Linked DNA regions of Mus musculus. The protein of the gene in region 1 interacts with the protein of each later gene in a biochemical or structural test. Links are inferred from orthologs where the notes say so. Each region holds a gene or a part of one and is shown in the gene's direction. Other genes may lie near its edges.

The links.
Region 2: the proteins of Ocrl (region 1) and Rab8a form a complex in vitro, tested with the Homo sapiens proteins (2 studies listed by BioGRID and IntAct, with this or other methods). The link is inferred for Mus musculus from reciprocal best matches to the Homo sapiens genes OCRL and RAB8A.
Region 3: the proteins of Ocrl (region 1) and Rab31 form a complex in vitro, tested with the Homo sapiens proteins (2 studies listed by BioGRID and IntAct, with this or other methods). The link is inferred for Mus musculus from reciprocal best matches to the Homo sapiens genes OCRL and RAB31.
Region 4: the proteins of Ocrl (region 1) and Rab5a form a complex in vitro, tested with the Homo sapiens proteins (2 studies listed by BioGRID and IntAct, with this or other methods). The link is inferred for Mus musculus from reciprocal best matches to the Homo sapiens genes OCRL and RAB5A.

The regions. Positions count from the first base shown.
Region 1 is NC_000086.7:47,932,956-47,936,455, forward strand, and holds part of Ocrl (inositol polyphosphate 5-phosphatase OCRL), read left to right. Parts: intron 1-418; coding exon 419-520; intron 521-1,889; coding exon 1,890-2,004; intron 2,005-3,134; coding exon 3,135-3,251; intron 3,252-3,345; coding exon 3,346-3,500. UniProt on the Homo sapiens protein: Catalyzes the hydrolysis of the 5-position phosphate of phosphatidylinositol 4,5-bisphosphate (PtdIns(4,5)P2) and phosphatidylinositol-3,4,5-bisphosphate (PtdIns(3,4,5)P3), with the greatest catalytic activity towards PtdIns(4,5)P2.
Region 2 is NC_000074.6:72,159,893-72,163,999, forward strand, and holds the start of Rab8a (ras-related protein Rab-8A), read left to right. Parts: upstream 1-1,307; 5' UTR 1,308-1,466; coding exon 1,467-1,590; intron 1,591-4,107. UniProt on the Homo sapiens protein: The small GTPases Rab are key regulators of intracellular membrane trafficking, from the formation of transport vesicles to their fusion with membranes.
Region 3 is NC_000083.6:65,769,953-65,774,054, reverse strand, and holds the start of Rab31 (ras-related protein Rab-31), read left to right. Parts: upstream 1-1,302; 5' UTR 1,303-1,510; coding exon 1,511-1,549; intron 1,550-4,102. UniProt on the Homo sapiens protein: The small GTPases Rab are key regulators of intracellular membrane trafficking, from the formation of transport vesicles to their fusion with membranes.
Region 4 is NC_000083.6:53,477,785-53,482,033, forward strand, and holds the start of Rab5a (ras-related protein Rab-5A), read left to right. Parts: upstream 1-1,449; 5' UTR 1,450-1,824; intron 1,825-4,249. UniProt on the Homo sapiens protein: The small GTPases Rab are key regulators of intracellular membrane trafficking, from the formation of transport vesicles to their fusion with membranes.

The DNA.
Region 1 (3,500 bases):
AGAGTTCTTTTTTATTAATCATTTTATTCATTTACGTTTCAAATGATATCCCCCTTCCCAGTTACCCCTCCGCCAATGCCCCCCTTCCCATTCCCCCCTCCCCCTGCCTCTATGAGGGTGCTCCTTCACCTACCAACCCACTCCCACCTCACCGCTCTACCATCCCCCCTACACTGGGACATCAAACCTCTACAGAACCAAGGGCCTCTCCTCCCATTGATGTCAGATCAGCCCATCCTCTGCTACATATGTATCTGGAGTCCTGGCTCCCAAGAATTCTTTTCTTAGGTGTCTAGCAAAACACTTTGAAGATTTATGTTAATCAAAATACCCGTTCATAGGAGTGATAAAAGCAGTATTGTGTTTGTTTATCCTTGATCTTTGTTTTTAAATTATTTTTTTGCTGTAACGTTATTAGGTTTTTTGTTGGAACTTGGAATGTGAACGGCCAGTCTCCAGACAGCAGCTTAGAACCTTGGCTCGACTGTGATCCAAATCCTCCTGATATTTACTGCATTGGGTAAACTTCTGGACCTTCCTTCTCCTATATTTGGTGTTAGTGTAACATGACTTGAGCCTCCCTCTTATCTGTGTGTATGTGTTTGTGTGTGAACGTGTTGGTGTGTGCATGTGAGCCCCAGAGGTTACCAGGTGTCTTGGTCAATCACTCTCCATCTTATTTCCTTTCCTCTTTTTATTAAACATTTTGCTTACATATATAATGAATTTTAGTTGTTTACACCCCCATCATCTTCTTCCCCCAAAACTCCCCCACTGCACTCATGCCTTCTTCATATGTATGAGCCGCTGAGTTTAGTTGGAGTTTCTTGTGTGAACATGGATGGGAGACTATTTACTAGAGCAACTCAACAGTGGCTTTCCCACCAAAGAAAGTGACACCCCTTCCACCAGCAATCTTTAACTGCCCCTTGTCCCTTAGGGAGGGGTAGAGCCTCATGGGCTCCTCCTGTGCCCATGATGAAATGTTTACGGGCCCAATCTGTGCAGCTGTACCGAGTTCAGGGGAACAGTGGCGATGTCATCCACAAGTTTCTTTTTGCTGAACATGTCCCCATCTTCTGGCTCTTACATTCTTTTCATACCCTCTTAAAGGTATTCCCTGAGTGTGATGTAAATGGCCCATAGTGGCAGAGTGCTCTGCCATCACTAAATCTCAGCACTTTGGCCAGTTATGAATTCCTACCTTAGCTGCCACCCACTTCTATGGGAAAGGCCTTATCTACCTTTTTTTTTTTTTTTTTTTTGGTTTTTCGAGACAGGGTTTCTCTGTGTAGCCCTGGCTGTCCTGGCACCTACCTTATTTTTTTAGATGGGCTCTCTCACTGAACCCCTAGAGATGGATCCTCCCATCCCTTGTTCCCCGGTGCTGGCATTGCAGACACATGCCCGCACAGACAGCTTTTTTGCACGGATGCTGAGGTTTGAACTCGGGTCCTCACACTTGATCTAGCAAGCACTTTACTGACTGGGACATTTCCCCCGCCTTGATCTGCATATTTGTTCTTACATACTTGTTTGGTAAACACTTGCTGTGCACTCTGTGTGCGGGTTAATTTTGTGGGTCAAAAGGAACCGTTAATGAAGCTCCTAATAGGGAACTGCTCATCGCAGGAACAGATAAGCTCAGTGCTCAAAGTGATTAGTCAACGGTTGGGAAAGACAGGTCTCACCACTGGCCCTAGGAGCGTTTGTTATTGTTTCCTTTTCTATAACCTATGGAGAGTCTTTAGAAAACCGACATGTCTTTTATAAAATTTATCTCGTACTCTTTTTTTTTTTCTTTACTCTAATGTCTCAGCAAATGGGAAAGGATGTAGCCAAAGAAAATTGTGGCTGTGTATAGTGCCTGCATCTATTTGTTCCCTCAGATTCCAAGAGCTGGACTTGAGCACCGAAGCCTTTTTCTACTTCGAGTCTGTGAAAGAGCAAGAGTGGTCCTTGGCTGTGGAAAGGGGGCTGCCTTCGAAGGCCAAGTATAGAAAAGTAAGCTGCGCTCGCTCGCTCGCTTCTCTCTTCAGTATAGAATGAAGTAGGCCTCACTGGGAGTTACTCCATCAACTGAACCTCTTCCAAAAGGTTTAAATAATTGACTTCTCCATATGAAATACTGTGCTGTATGAGACTAATCTGCTGTAGTTACTTCTGAGAAAAAAAATTCATAAGCTTTCTGGTCATGCATTTTCATCCTTTAGATGGTTTGGGGAAGAAATCAACTTATTGTTTTTGCATTAGTAATCCAAATAATTAAATATAAGCTAACCGATCTGTCTGTGTAATAAAAATATAAGACTGTCCTCTGGCATGGCCAGAATGAAATGCCTACAAGAAAAGCAGTATGGAGTATGTGGGGCGCAGAGAGTGTGCTTTCGATTCAGAGCAAGAATAGCAGTACTGTGGGAATTCAGCACATCCTGAACTGCTTTGTAGGTCAAGTATAAACTTGGCTTTAGCAAGGTGGTCCAATTGGTGGTCTTTAGAAGATATCTGCTAGGGGCATTTAGCTACTAGGAGAGTTATTTTCATCTTAAGACTATTATCCCAAGCTCAAAGTAATCTATGGTTTTGAACAGTTTATGTAGGTAGCATAACTCTTGAGGATGTTACAGCTCTCTCGCTCAACTTTAGGTTAAAAAGAATCAAAATTCAAAGGGTTGCTCTTTAGGACGGAAGGGGAACAAGCTGGGATAATGGCTTATACACTACTATTTGGGCTTTTAATATACTCTCGATAGGCTACAATGTGATTTAGAGGTCTAAGACTGGGGATGTGGCTCAGTGGTAGATAGCTGTATTACATGCTCAAGGCTCTCTATTTGATCCTCAGCACTGATAAATAGAAGCAGAGAGATACAGAGACAGAGAGAAAAGTGGGGAGAGAGAAAAACTGAGACTTATACACTATCCCTCAAGACTTTTAACTCTTATTAATCAAAACCAGACTAGAGCTTCCACAGAGAATCGTCGTTTCCAATTTATGAGGTCTTATTGGAAATTAGAGGGTGCAGATGTAGGTTTGGACATCAGTAATCACCTTGTTGGTCATCCTAGGAAGTTAGTTATGTAGCAGAAAGGGACGCTTATGTTAGCTGTTAGTAACTTCCTGGAATTCATAGGTTCAACTGGTCCGCCTTGTGGGGATGATGCTTCTTATATTTGCCAGAAAAGATCAGTGTCAATACATCCGAGATGTTGCTACAGAAACAACTGGAACTGGAATCATGGGGAAAATGGTGAGTTCCTTTGGCAATTAATTTGATTATCATTTATAGCTATGCAAAATTCACTTGCTCCTTGTGCTAAGTAACATTATACTTTGTCTAACAGGGAAACAAAGGTGGGGTAGCTGTAAGATTTGTATTCCACAACACCACTTTCTGCATTGTCAATTCGCACCTGGCCGCCCACGTGGAAGAGTTCGAACGAAGGAATCAGGATTATAAAGACATCTGTGCAAGAATGACTTTTTCAGTCCCCAATCA
Region 2 (4,107 bases), on another chromosome or scaffold:
TACAATCCTCAGATTTAGCAACAAATGACTTACTTTACTGGCTGAGCCATGTAGTCAGCAACTCAGATCTTTTTTTTTTTAATTTATTTATTATATGTAAGTACACTGTAGCTGTCTTTAGACACCCCAGAAGAGGGCATCAGATCTCATTACTGATGATTGTGAGCCACCATGTAATTCAGGACCTCTGGAAGATCAGTAAGTGCTCTTAAACACTGAGCCATCTATCCACCCCCCCCCACTCCTTTTTTCTTTTTAAGATTTGAGTACACTGTAGTTGTCTTCAGACACACCAAAAGGGGGCACTGGATTCCATTACAGATGGTTATGAGGCACCATGTGGTTGCTGGGTATTGAACTCAAGGCCTCTGGAAGAGTAGTCTTAACCGCTGAGCCATCTCTCCAGCCCTCAGATGTTTATCTTAATGTGGCTTTATTTTATTTTGTCACTGTTCTCCCGTTACTCCGGGACTACACCTCAACATATTAAAAAACAGAAGGGAAAAAAAAATGCTACTCTGAAACCTAGGAAAGTCACTTCACCTGTCTTCAGTATACTTACCATAAAACGAGGAAAAGATTACCTACCAAGCCGGGCTGGTGTGGGGTGAAGGACCTTGACTTATTTTTAAGTATAGATAGCACCCGCAAGCACAGAAAAGAAAACAAAACAAAACAAAACAAAAAACGCTGCCATTACTTGGAAATGATAACATAGCCCTACCGGCGCTGAAGCCCTGGGATCGCTCACGGCAATGGCCGGCTTGCCTGTACAGCACCTAAGTAAGTCCAATGGTGGGCGCCAAGGCCGAGGAGCGAGTCTGCAGCACATCTTAACCCGCGCCACTTTTGCACCGCCGAAAATCCTCCTCAGAAGCATTACCACAGGTACTTCCTGCGCTTCGCCTCAGCGCCGGCTGCGGCTACGGCTGCTGCTGCGCAGGCAGAGAAGGCGGGAAACACGAGGCGTTCTCTGCGCGCGTGCGCTCTCTGCCAGAGCCAACCGTCTTCCCAGTACGCTTGCGCCTGTTCACCAAGCCCGTCCCTCCCACTCTCTCATCAACCAGCGCGCGGAATTGTTGGGGTCCCTCCTGTCGGGGGCAGGGCCTGGACGCTGAAGGGCTGAGGAGAAGGCGCGCACGGGAAGGCGGGGTCAAGATGTGACCACACCCATCGCTGGTCATTTGACGCCCTCACCCTCGACTCTCCAGCACTAGCCAATAACAAACCTCCCTATACCAAGCGTCAACCAATGGGCTGTGCAGTCGGCTGCTTCCGGCTCTGCGCCGCTTTCGCCTTTTTCCCCTGGGCTCTCTGCGACAGGCGGGGCTCCGGGTGGCGGGCGTAGGCCTGGATGATGCGCGGCGGGCAGGGGGCCAATAGGGGGCGGGATCTGAGATGATAGACGGGTCCAGCGACCAGTGGCGAGGCGCCGGCCGTACTTCCCGTCGGGGAGAGAGTGTAATATGGCGAAGACCTACGATTACCTGTTCAAGCTGCTGCTGATCGGGGACTCGGGGGTAGGGAAGACCTGTGTCCTGTTCCGCTTCTCCGAGGACGCCTTCAACTCCACATTCATCTCTACCATAGGTAGCGGGGCCTTGGGCGGCCGGTGACCAGGGCTGGACGCGCCCCTATGGGGCTGGGCTGAGGGATCGACTCAGGATCCACTCGGGCCGAGGATCCGGGAGGGTCACGGGGCTGGACAGAGAACCGCAGCGGCCTCCACCTCCCGCCAGGGAGTCCAGGCCGGGACCCTGGCGGGCGCCGGAGACCAAGGTGCAGACAGGGACATGCAGGCTGCAGTCTGAGGAAGAGCCTGCCCTGGGGTCCTGGCGCCTGTCAACTCTCTGTGTCTTTACATCAGACCTCTACACTGTTCTTCCGGGGAGACCCCCGTCTTCCAAAAGTGGAAACTGAGGCATGGAGGTGACACCTGACCTCGTAGTTTCCTATGTGGCAAGCTTGGCATGTGCAGTATCAAATCTGTAGTGTACTCGTGATGGGTGCTTTGTCCCTGGAGGAGGAATTTGAAACTGAGGGAGGGTGCGGCACGCACTGAAGGTCACAGTCTACAGGTATTAGGGATGAGATTTGAACCCAGGTGTGTCTGACTCCAAAATTCAAGGTTCAGCTGTTCCAGAGCTTCAAAGGACCAGCACCACTGATCCACATCTAAGTCAGGACTCCAACCCAAAGTCCTCCTGCCTTCTCTCTGAGGAATGGTGACAGTATCTGTCATCCTGGTGGGAATACAAGAGAAAAAGTTCCAGTAAGAAACTAAGTCCAGCCATGGCTACGTGCAGCCTTGACTGACTTCCTTTCACTGGGCCAAGAACACCACCTGAACAGCTTTTCCCCAGGGCTGCCTCACGGCACAGTTGAACAGAATTGGCTTGTGATGGCCCCAGTTCTGACGTCAAAAATGGTGCTGACCATGCTCCTTACCATGAATAGTCATGGCTCACATTGAGTGTTACCTGGAAGTAAATCCTGCCAAACAGAGTGACCTGGATGGTGTATGGTCCTGAAACAAGAGAATAGTCACTAGGCTTGGTTTATCCCTAGTCAGGATGTGGTTCCATTGTTGGAACCCTGGGTGCCATCTCCAGCACCCTGAAACCAGATGTGGTAGTGAACACCTGTAATGACAGCACTAAGGACAGGGAGGCAGGAAGATCGGGTGCTCAGGGTCATCCTTGGCTACATAGAGTGTTCAAGGCCAGCCTGGGCTGCATGAGACCCTGCCTTGGAAGGAAAAGGGAAACTGGGGGATGATTTCTGTGTAATGTCAACTAAGTTGTTGTCTCCCTGACCTGACCGTCATGTGATAATGCCATCTAATATCTCCTTCCCAGTCAGTGTTCTGAAGCAGTCGTGTGTCAGGCGTCAAGTATAGGGAACTGGACAGGGAATCATCATACTTGAACTCTAGGTTGAGCAAGCTCTAACCCTCACTGACCCAATTTTATTTAGAGTAGATATGGCACTGTCTGTCTTGTCTGGTGCCCTGGGTGGTTGAGGATTAGATCTATACAACCAGTGGAAGGTTCAGTCTGGAGGAAGCAGAGGGTTTGGGCACAGGTGCATTTAAAGCCTCTCCCCCCACACACACCCCCACCCAAACACTCAGCTTTGGAGTTACCCTCAGGTGAGGACCAAGCAGGAAGTGACAGTAGCTACCCACAGGCTCTGGTTTGTTCTCAACACAGACCTCAGTTTCCCATCCTCAGACACTTCCTAGTCAACACCAACATGGTGACATTAGTTCAGGGGTGTTTTGTTGTTGTTGTTCAATTTGGCATGCATGCATGTGTGTGAGCATGTTCCTGTGTGCATACAGGAACAGTCGGGGTTATTCCTCAATCTTCACCTCATTTTTAAAAATTATTTTATTGGGAGTGTATGTGTATGCTTATGCACATGTATGGGTCAGAGGACACCTTTTAAAGTCTGTTCTTTTCCTCCCACCATGTGGGTCCTGGGGATTGATCTCAGGTTGTCAGGTTTATGGGTGAGTACCTTCACCCACCAAGCTATCTTTGCTTGGTCTCTCACTGATCCTGGAGCTCACCAAGTTTGAGGCTGGATGACCAGCAAGCCTCAGGACCCTTCTTTCTTGTCTCACCAGTGCTGTAATGTTATGTAAGTTTATGCCACCATGCCCAGGTCTTCATGCTTTTGTGGCAAGGACTTTAGGGATTGAGTCGTGTCCCTAGCCCTTGTTTGTTTGTTTGTTTGTTTGAGACAGGCTAGCTATATAACCAGGCTGTTCTGGAACTCATGGAAATCATCTGCCTCTGGCTCCCAAATTCCAATGTCAAAAGGCAACTTACAGGAGTCAGTTTCCTCCTTCTACTGAGTAGGACCCAAGAATTGAACTCAAGTCATCAGGCTCAGTGGCAAGCACCTTTATCCACTGAACCATCTTGCTGACCTGTATTGCTTATTTTGCATCTCATATATGTTTGTTCAATTTTTCTTTTTGAAATACTGGGGATGGAGCCAAGGGCCTCAACACAGGTCAGCTACACATCCTTTTCCATCTGGCTGGCTTAAAACATTTTTTTTAAGTTTTTTTTTTTTTTTTTTAATATAGGTGAGTAC
Region 3 (4,102 bases), on another chromosome or scaffold:
TGCAGAATGCTTTGTCAAAACTTGCTTTGGGTGCCTGGAGACATGGCTCTGCAGTTAAGAGCACTGGCTGATTTTCCAGAGATGCTGAGTTCAGAGCCCAGGTCCCGTACTCCAACCTCCCACATGGCAGCTCACAAATGTAGCTCACCAATGCCCTCTTCTGATGTGCAGATGTACATGCAGACCAGACGTCCATATACTTCAAACCTTTAAACACTTCTTAAAACTGGCTTTCAGGCAGGAGAGATGGCTCAGCGGTGAAGAGCACCGATTGCTCTTCTGAAGGTCCTGAGTTCAAATCCCAGCAACCACATGTGAGCACATGGTGGCTCACAACCACCTGTAATGAGATCTGATGCCCTCTTCTGGTGAGAACTCCAGACTCAGCATACTGATAAGAACACCTGCCTGGCAAGAAAGCCAGGTAATGAGAACTGCTCTTCACTGTTCTCATTAAAGGGCTTCTGTTTTATTTCCAGGTTGCCTGGATCAATCCTTCTAACAGTTATCAGGCATGCTGGGCAAGCACTCTCCCAACAGAGCCACGTCCAGTGTTGCTGTTTAAAACATATGCATACAATTAGTAGTACCAGTAAATTTAGATTATTCTTAAAGAGCTGTCATTTCTACACAGCAACAAATGAAGTCATCCCAGAGGCTTGGAGGAACAACGGACCATACAAAGACCAGAGGCCATGGCCCCTCTGTGTGACGCTGCACGTAGCCTCAGTTTCCTAGTAGAGGAGTTTGCAGAAGGGTTGCCAGCCCCCCAGTTGTGGCTGGGCTCCTGCCCACATAGCTGTAGCGTTTTTCTACATGGAGAAAGGGGGCTTCCTCTACAGAGTGCACCTCTCTTTTCCCAGGCCCTGGTGCTCCAGTTTTGGAAGCCAAAACACCTGACTGCTTCTCGAATCATCCTTGAGTCATCCTTTGCTGCATACAGAAAAGAATGCATGCAGAGTAAAGTGAAGTGTTGGGAGGAAGCGATTTGAAGCCTGGGTATTAGAAGGGACAAGTTAACCCTTTCCTCCCCTCATCCCGGTTTCTCGCTGATGTTTCTTGCATCTGGAGGTCAGAGTCACTTTATGGTGGGACTACCCAGAGACTTTGAAGTGCTTCCTTGGGACCACAGCCAACAGCATAAACTGTTCCAATGGCTCTTTATGACGCGACGGGTCGTGTGTCCAGGGCAAGTGGTGCCCGACCGGGCTCAGAGCTGATCACGGAAGGGGATGATTTGCCCACAAGTCAGATGTTGGGTGGTCACTGGAGGCCGAAGCGGACCGGGGCCCGGGCGGAGCCGAAGCCCGGCGGCCAGGCTAGACTAGACGTGACGGGAGGAGCCGGCCGGCAGCACGTGACCGACAGCGGAGGCCGAGGCCCAGAAATAGCCGCCTTGGCGGTTCCGCCCCGCGGCCGGCGAGAGTCCTGGGAGACAGCAGGACGCAGGCTGGGCGCGGTGTGGCCCGGACGATGCTGCTGAGCCCCGGCCGGGCCCGACCCAGAGCACATGATGGCGATACGGGAGCTCAAAGTGTGTCTTCTCGGGGTAAGTCCTGGAGCCATCCTACGGGGGATCCCGGCTTCTGTGCGCCATTGTCTCTGCGCTGCCCGCCTCCCGTGCGCTTCCCCATGTCCCGCGCGCTCCATCCCGCGCCCGGCACCAGCCGCCTCCGCCCGCCACCAGATTCTCCCGAGCGCCCCGGATCGCTGCATCTGCGGCCGGGTATCTGGCAACCTTGGGGCTCGCCAGGCTGCGGGTCGGGCAGGGCGGGGTGGAGGGGTGGGAGGTGGGGGGGATTGTTGAGGACCAGAGGACAGCGGGTCATGCAGCCCCTGGGCCCCTAGGACTCTTGCCTCTGCCACTGGTGGCTCCCTCCCGGAGGAGTGTTTAAGTTAGGTTTTCCTCTGCCTCCTGCGGGGGTAGGTAGGGAGTAGTGATGGCAATTTCTTTATTCTCTCCGAAAACAAACCAACAAACCAATCCTTCCAAGCAAGGGAGGGAGTACCGGGGTTTTGGCCCGACTGCGAAGTATTAAGAGCAAACTCTGTATGAACTGTGTGTTCAGCACACTTTCCGTGCAGTGGATGAAAATGAAGCAGGATGAGAAACACCCGCCCCCAACACCCTTCCTCTTCCAAAACGAGTCTTAGTCCCAAGAAATATAAAAGCAGTCAGAAACAAAGAAAGAAACAACATCCAAACTCCGAGACTGGAGGGCCAGACTGACAAACTCCGGCACACTGCGCTGTCCCTTGAAATCTGCCCCCCCCCAGGGATTCAGTGTTTGGGGGTCATTTCCTTGGGGCTACCCACAACAAATTCCCGAAGTCTTCCCAAATAAGAGCTAATGTTATAAGCCATGTTCTCTGCAGTCTTCTGTAGTCTTTGGCATTATCACTGGGCATACCGCCCTGCCCTTGAAGTTGGCAAATCTGGCACTGCAAGGAAAAGTATTTCCTAAATAAAAGAGTAGGGCCGCATTCATTCTCCTCAAAGAAATGCTAATCAGGATGGTTATGGAGGTGAATACAGGCGATGTTGTGGATTAGGATCTGGTGCACCAGGGACTTGTGGTTTCACCTGGGCCCCGCCGAATCCTTTGATGGAAGTCGGATCCTCACACTGCCCTTGGCACTTCCCCTTAGCTAGTGGTTGGTGGAGAATCCCAGGGCTTCTGGCAAGGGCCTTTTCTTCCCCTTCAGTGTCAAGCAAGGCCTCCCCAGGGGCTTCTCACCCAGGAGGCCGGGCAGGATGCTGCTCTTGGAGTTCTTTCTCCTTAGAACTTTCGGTGTCAGAGTAGCAAGCTTCATATCTGCGGGGCTGTCCAGTAGTCCAGACCTAGGAATCCCACGGGAGAAAGGCCTTTGAAGATTTCAAAGGAATAGCAGGCCCCAAAGAAGAGGAAGTGTTGGTGCGAGGGGCATGTAACAGTTAGCCATGGGGAACGTTGAAACAGGAAACATTTTTGGCTCTAGGAGGTGACTTGCATCTCCTCCTTTGCAGTCCACCTAGGTGCCCAGGCACAGTCTCAATGACATCACCTTTAATTTTTAGTTTCAGTGTCCTATTGGGACAGTGACGAGTGTGGCAAGGACTCAGAACCAGGAGTCAGGAGGTCTGGCCTGTCTTCTGCCCCAGGGTGTGGGAGAGCCAAATGAGTGGTTTAACTGTAGACTGGACATATCATTCATTCCCTTCTCTTCGAAGGCAGAGAACTGGTACTGAATGGTCTCTGATGGTGTGTGTGTGTGTGGTGTGTGTGTGGTGTGTGTGTGTGTGTGTGGTGTGTATGATGTGTATATGTGTGTGTGTGATGTGTATATGTATGTGTGTATGTGTGTGGTGTGTGTGGTGTGTATGTGTGTGTGTGGTGTGTGTGTGTGTGTGGTGTGTGTGTGGTGTGTGTATGATGTGTATATGTGTGTGTGTGATGTGTAAATGTGTGTGTGTATGTGTGTGGGGTGTGTGTATGATGTGTATATGTGTGTGTGTGATGTGTAAATGTGTGTGTGTATGTGTGTGGGGTGTGTGTGATGTGTATGTGTGGTGTGTGTGTATGTGTGTGTGTGTGGTGTGTGTGTGTGTATGGTGTGGTGTATGTGGTGTGTATTTGTGTGGTGTATATGTATGTGTGTGGTGTGTGTATGTGTGTGGTGTTTGTGGTGTGTGTGTGTGTGGTGTGTATGTGTGGTATATGTGTGTGGGTGTGTGAGACCATTTCCTGCTGGTCTGTGATGATGCTAGAGATGCCAAGATGAGATGAGGGAACTAGAGAAACTCTTCTTTTTCTCCCCATCTCCACAAACAAAGCAATCTCCACAGGCTTTCTAGAGGCAATGCAGGTGCCTTATTTTGATTTTGGCCTCTTTATGATGGCCCTATCGATAGGAATTTGAACCTGGGGTGGGGGTGGGGGGGGTGGAGGATGCTGTAACAGAGAAAGAAGAAATTTCTGTAAGTTTTGAAACATTATTCATATCATTCCACATCAGCTGTACTCTGCTTTGAAGGTAGCTTGCTACACATTTTAGTGTTACCAAGGTCAGAAGATATTTTATTTCAAAGAGCAAGTGAGCTCGTCCATCCTGGGCACTAGTC
Region 4 (4,249 bases), on another chromosome or scaffold:
ACATGGCCATGGGGTGGGATGGGGTAGTGAGACAGGAAGACAAAGGAGCAAAGGAGGCCACAGGAGAGGGGAGCGGGAAGGAGAGAGGGAGAGGGAGAGGGAGGGAGAGAGAGAGAGAGAGAGAGAGAGAGAGAGAGAGAGAGAGAGAGAGTCAAATAGTAGGGTTACATGGGAATGAGAAACTAGAAGAGGGAAGCTCATGACTTGGAGAAGTTTAGGGTAGGAAGTGGGGTGAGAAGAGCCACAGGTACTGAGTAAATCAGAAGGCTAGCCTTGTGTTTTGGTATGCTAATAGGCACCACAGAACCTTTCTGACAGAGACAAGGAATGACTCTTTTGATAGAAACCAGTGCCAGAATTTAGGGGAGTGGAGTATTTGGACCTATGCGGATCAAGGGAACGTCTTAAATAGGTGTGCTGTGGGCAGCCATAAACATCTTGGGCTGCTGTTCATTGGAATCTTAAGAACTAGTGTTATGGAGCCGGCTGCAGGCTAGACTATATCTAACCTGTGATCGTGGCCAAATTATTTGCCTCCCTCATTCATTCCACAAACATGCCAGGACTCTGTGTGCTTATCAACTGTGCTTATCAATGGGTGTGTGTGTGTGTGTGAGAGAGAGAGAGAGAGAGAGAGAGAGAGAGAGAGAGATCACTCCAAAATGTTTACTACTTAGTTCAATGGGGAATTCCAAATAAACGCTAATTATTAGGATTTCCTCCTTTTCACTCAAAAAACAAACAAAACAAAACAAAAAACCACACACACAGGTAAACTCTCAATAAAAGCAAGTTATTCTTTTGAGGTTTGCTGTCTAAAGGCAGCTTTTGAATTTAAGGGTCTTAATTCTCTCCGAGATCACAGACACGCCCATTCTCGGAAAAGCAGGGCATTTCCAGAGCCACAGGAGCCCTCGCTCGCCTAAACCCCTTTACTGAGCTGCTGAAGTGGTGTGAGAGGCCTGTGAGTGAACCATCAGACCGAAAATCGCCGCAATGGGAAGACAACCCAGGCTGACAATGGCAGTGGGGACCCTGTCAGCTCCGATGAGACCCATAAAACGCAGGTCTGGCCCACGCCTCTCGGGTTCCCAACCCGCCGGCTTAGAGCGCCGCCACCCAGATAACAATGGTGGTACTGAGGGTGGAGCCCCGGGGAGGAGGAAGGCAGAGCAAGGAAGTGAGTAGGTCTGGCCCCAGGGAATTGGAGAAGACACGTGACGCAACCCCACGCCCCCCTCTTCATTCCTGACGCTCCTGCCTCGCCTTGCAGCCGGAGCCCAAAGATGTCGGTTCAGATCAAGGAGGCGTTAGAGAGGGCCGAACTATTCTCCCTTAGCGCACCCGGGGATGTCACGTGACTTCGGCCCCGCCCCCTTAGGAAGCCGCTGCCGGCCTCCTGGGAGGGGCAGCGGCGGAAATGACGTCACGGCGTTCTTCGCTGCGTGCGGCTACGTGGCGGAGCCGGCGGAAGCAGTTCCTGCGCTGGAGCCCGAGTGTTTGTGTTTTGGTTCGTGAGGAGCCGGGGCGGTCTGAGGGGAGGAGACCGAGGGAGGAGGAGGAGGAGAACGACGACGACGAGGAAGAAGTCCTCGGAACTCGAGCGCGGCGACTCTGGAGGAGGAGGAGAAAGGAAGGCGGAACGGAGAGGCGGAGACGCAGCCCGGCAGGGGCGGCGGCACGGCGGGCGGCGCTCAGAGTCCCGCGCCGGCCAGGGTGAGAAGAAGGAGCGAGCAGGCGACGCCGCCGCTGCAGCCGCGGCGCATCCGATCTCCGGGCCGGGCCGGGCCGTGCGTGGCCTCGCTGCCGGGAGACGCGGCCCAGGTAAGCCGCCGTCGGGGCGGGTCCCTGTGGTCCCGGGCCGGGCTTGGGGCCTCCAAGCCGCCGCGGGCCCTCAGCGCTTAGTGACTCATTCTTCTAGCAGCTTCGGGGCCTGGGACGTGGGGAATCCTCTGAGGGAGCGGCGGGTGGCACCCTCTTCCCTTCACAAGATGGCGCCGTGGGAAGAGCCTGGGGCCCTGGCGGTCTCCAGCCCGGTCTTTGGGGCTCTGTCCCGGCTACTGAGCCGGATCGCATCCGGGGTGACGGGGGTGGCTCAGGAGCGCGCCCACCAGGCCCAGCGGAGCTCCTGGCCCCGGCACCCCGGTTTGATTTCTCGGCTTCTTCCAGACAGGAACCCAGGCCTCCAGCAGGTGGGGATTGGGGAGCTCCGCCTACCTCTGACCGGCTTGGCCGGGCTGTGCGAGTAGTGGGATCCTCTGGTCCCTTCCGTGGGAGGTGGGAAGCCCGGGCCAAGGTGCGAGCAGGTTAACATCCTAACGCCTCCAGAAGTTTAAAGCTTTGACTGTCACTCTTGGCATATTAGTTTTTGCCTCGCCGAAATGGATTTAAAGTTCTGAATCAGTTGCCTTGCACGTAACTAATTAAAAAAAAAAAAACTGTTACATCTTCCAGAATATTGAGGTCTGCCCAGAATCGTTCTTAATGTAAAATTTGAACCCGTGGGGTTGTGAACAAAGTAGGCAGCACAACAGTGCCTGGCACAATTTAAGGGCTCAGTGCAATTTTTTTAATCAAAGACTTCCTAACTGTATAAAAAAACTATTTTAAAGATTGGAGATGCATATTATGCAAAAGTTTTCTTTGACGGAATAAAAGTACAAGTTATAAGTGCAGAACCTCTGTGCACTGAGCAGTAGCTTCACTGAACACCCCCAGCCCTCGCACTTAACATTAATACCATGTTCAACCTGTGTAGGTTTATACTTGGGCTTATTTCCGTTTGAGGTCTTTGGAAGTAAAAGATTTAGTAGCTTTGCACTTTAAAAGACACTGACTGTGAAGGCACCCCGCCTGTCATCCCAGCACTCTGGAAGCTGAGGTAGGTAGGATCAGGAGTCCAGGCCATCCGTAACCTATCCTGTGCTTGCCTAGGCGACAAGTCCCTGTCCCTCAAAAATGTGATCGGGATGTGGGGCAGGAAACAGTTTTTAAAAACTAAGTACAAAATTTTGTTTGTATTTTCTGTGAGAATCGATGTTTTCCCTGAGATTTTGGAAGTACCATAGGAATACAGAACAAGTTTTGTCCTGGATAAGTCATTTACTGTTTTATAGGTAAGGAACAATTGAGAAACATTTAAGCTGAAGGTATGTTGGTGCCTTTTTCAGTCTGTATGAAGTCTATTGATCTACAAGCATTAATTAATTAACTAATTCACCAAGAGGCCATTTTAATTGCCAGTTTCAAACACTGTGTACTTAGTAAGCACTGTATCAGAGACTAGATATGTTGTCTTATTTAATTCTTAACAGTTGCTGTGCAATGTTAGGGTATAATGAATATAGAAAATTTGAAAATTAAAACTTAGATTGACATAGCTGAGACTAGACTTCAGAATCTGGTTTGTTTTATGGATTGGGGAGAAATGGGAATTTTGCTTAATTACTTTTGACAAGCTCTCACAGTATAGTTCTGGGTGACTTGAAACATGCTTTGCAGGCCAGGCTAACTTGGAACACACAGCCATTCATCCACCTTTTTCTGGCCCTGGAGTGCTAGAATTAAAATCTTGGCCCACTGTGTCTGTTGTTTTGAGACAAGCCTTGCTAAATATTTCTGACTGGCATGCTTCTGTCTCAGCTTCTCAAGTTCTAGGACCACAGACAAGCTCCATCATGCCAGGATGAAATGGTAGTTTTATTTATGTGCTGTTGGTTAGAAGCAGCTCAAACATTTCATCTGTAAATGTGTTGGTATTTATTGGTAAAGATAGGAACTCTTCAAAGCTAGTAACTAGATTAGGCTAGAAGATGGTATCTTAAAAACGGAGCTGGGCTTGGTGTGGCATACCTTTAATTAGAGAACTCAGGAGGCAAAGGCAGATGTACTGATTGATCTCTGAGTTCAGGGACAGCCATGGCTAAACAGAGAGCCGTTGTCTTAAAACAACAAACAGATAGCACGGAGATCTTATGGATATATTCGTTAATGAATTTGTCATTATCAAGTGTTCCATGTATTAATTCAAATTTTATAGGAAATATAAATTTCTATAATTAAGTATAAATTAAGTGTAGCTTTTGGTCAAAGATTTTTTTAGGAAGAAAATCCTTAGTATATTTTGTTTTTGATAAGCTTATAACCCACATTTAGTATATGCGTGTGATGTTTGCATGTGTATGTATTCCTGTGTGAAGGAATGTGCATTTCACAGCATTTTCATGGAGATCAAAGGGACAACCTTGGT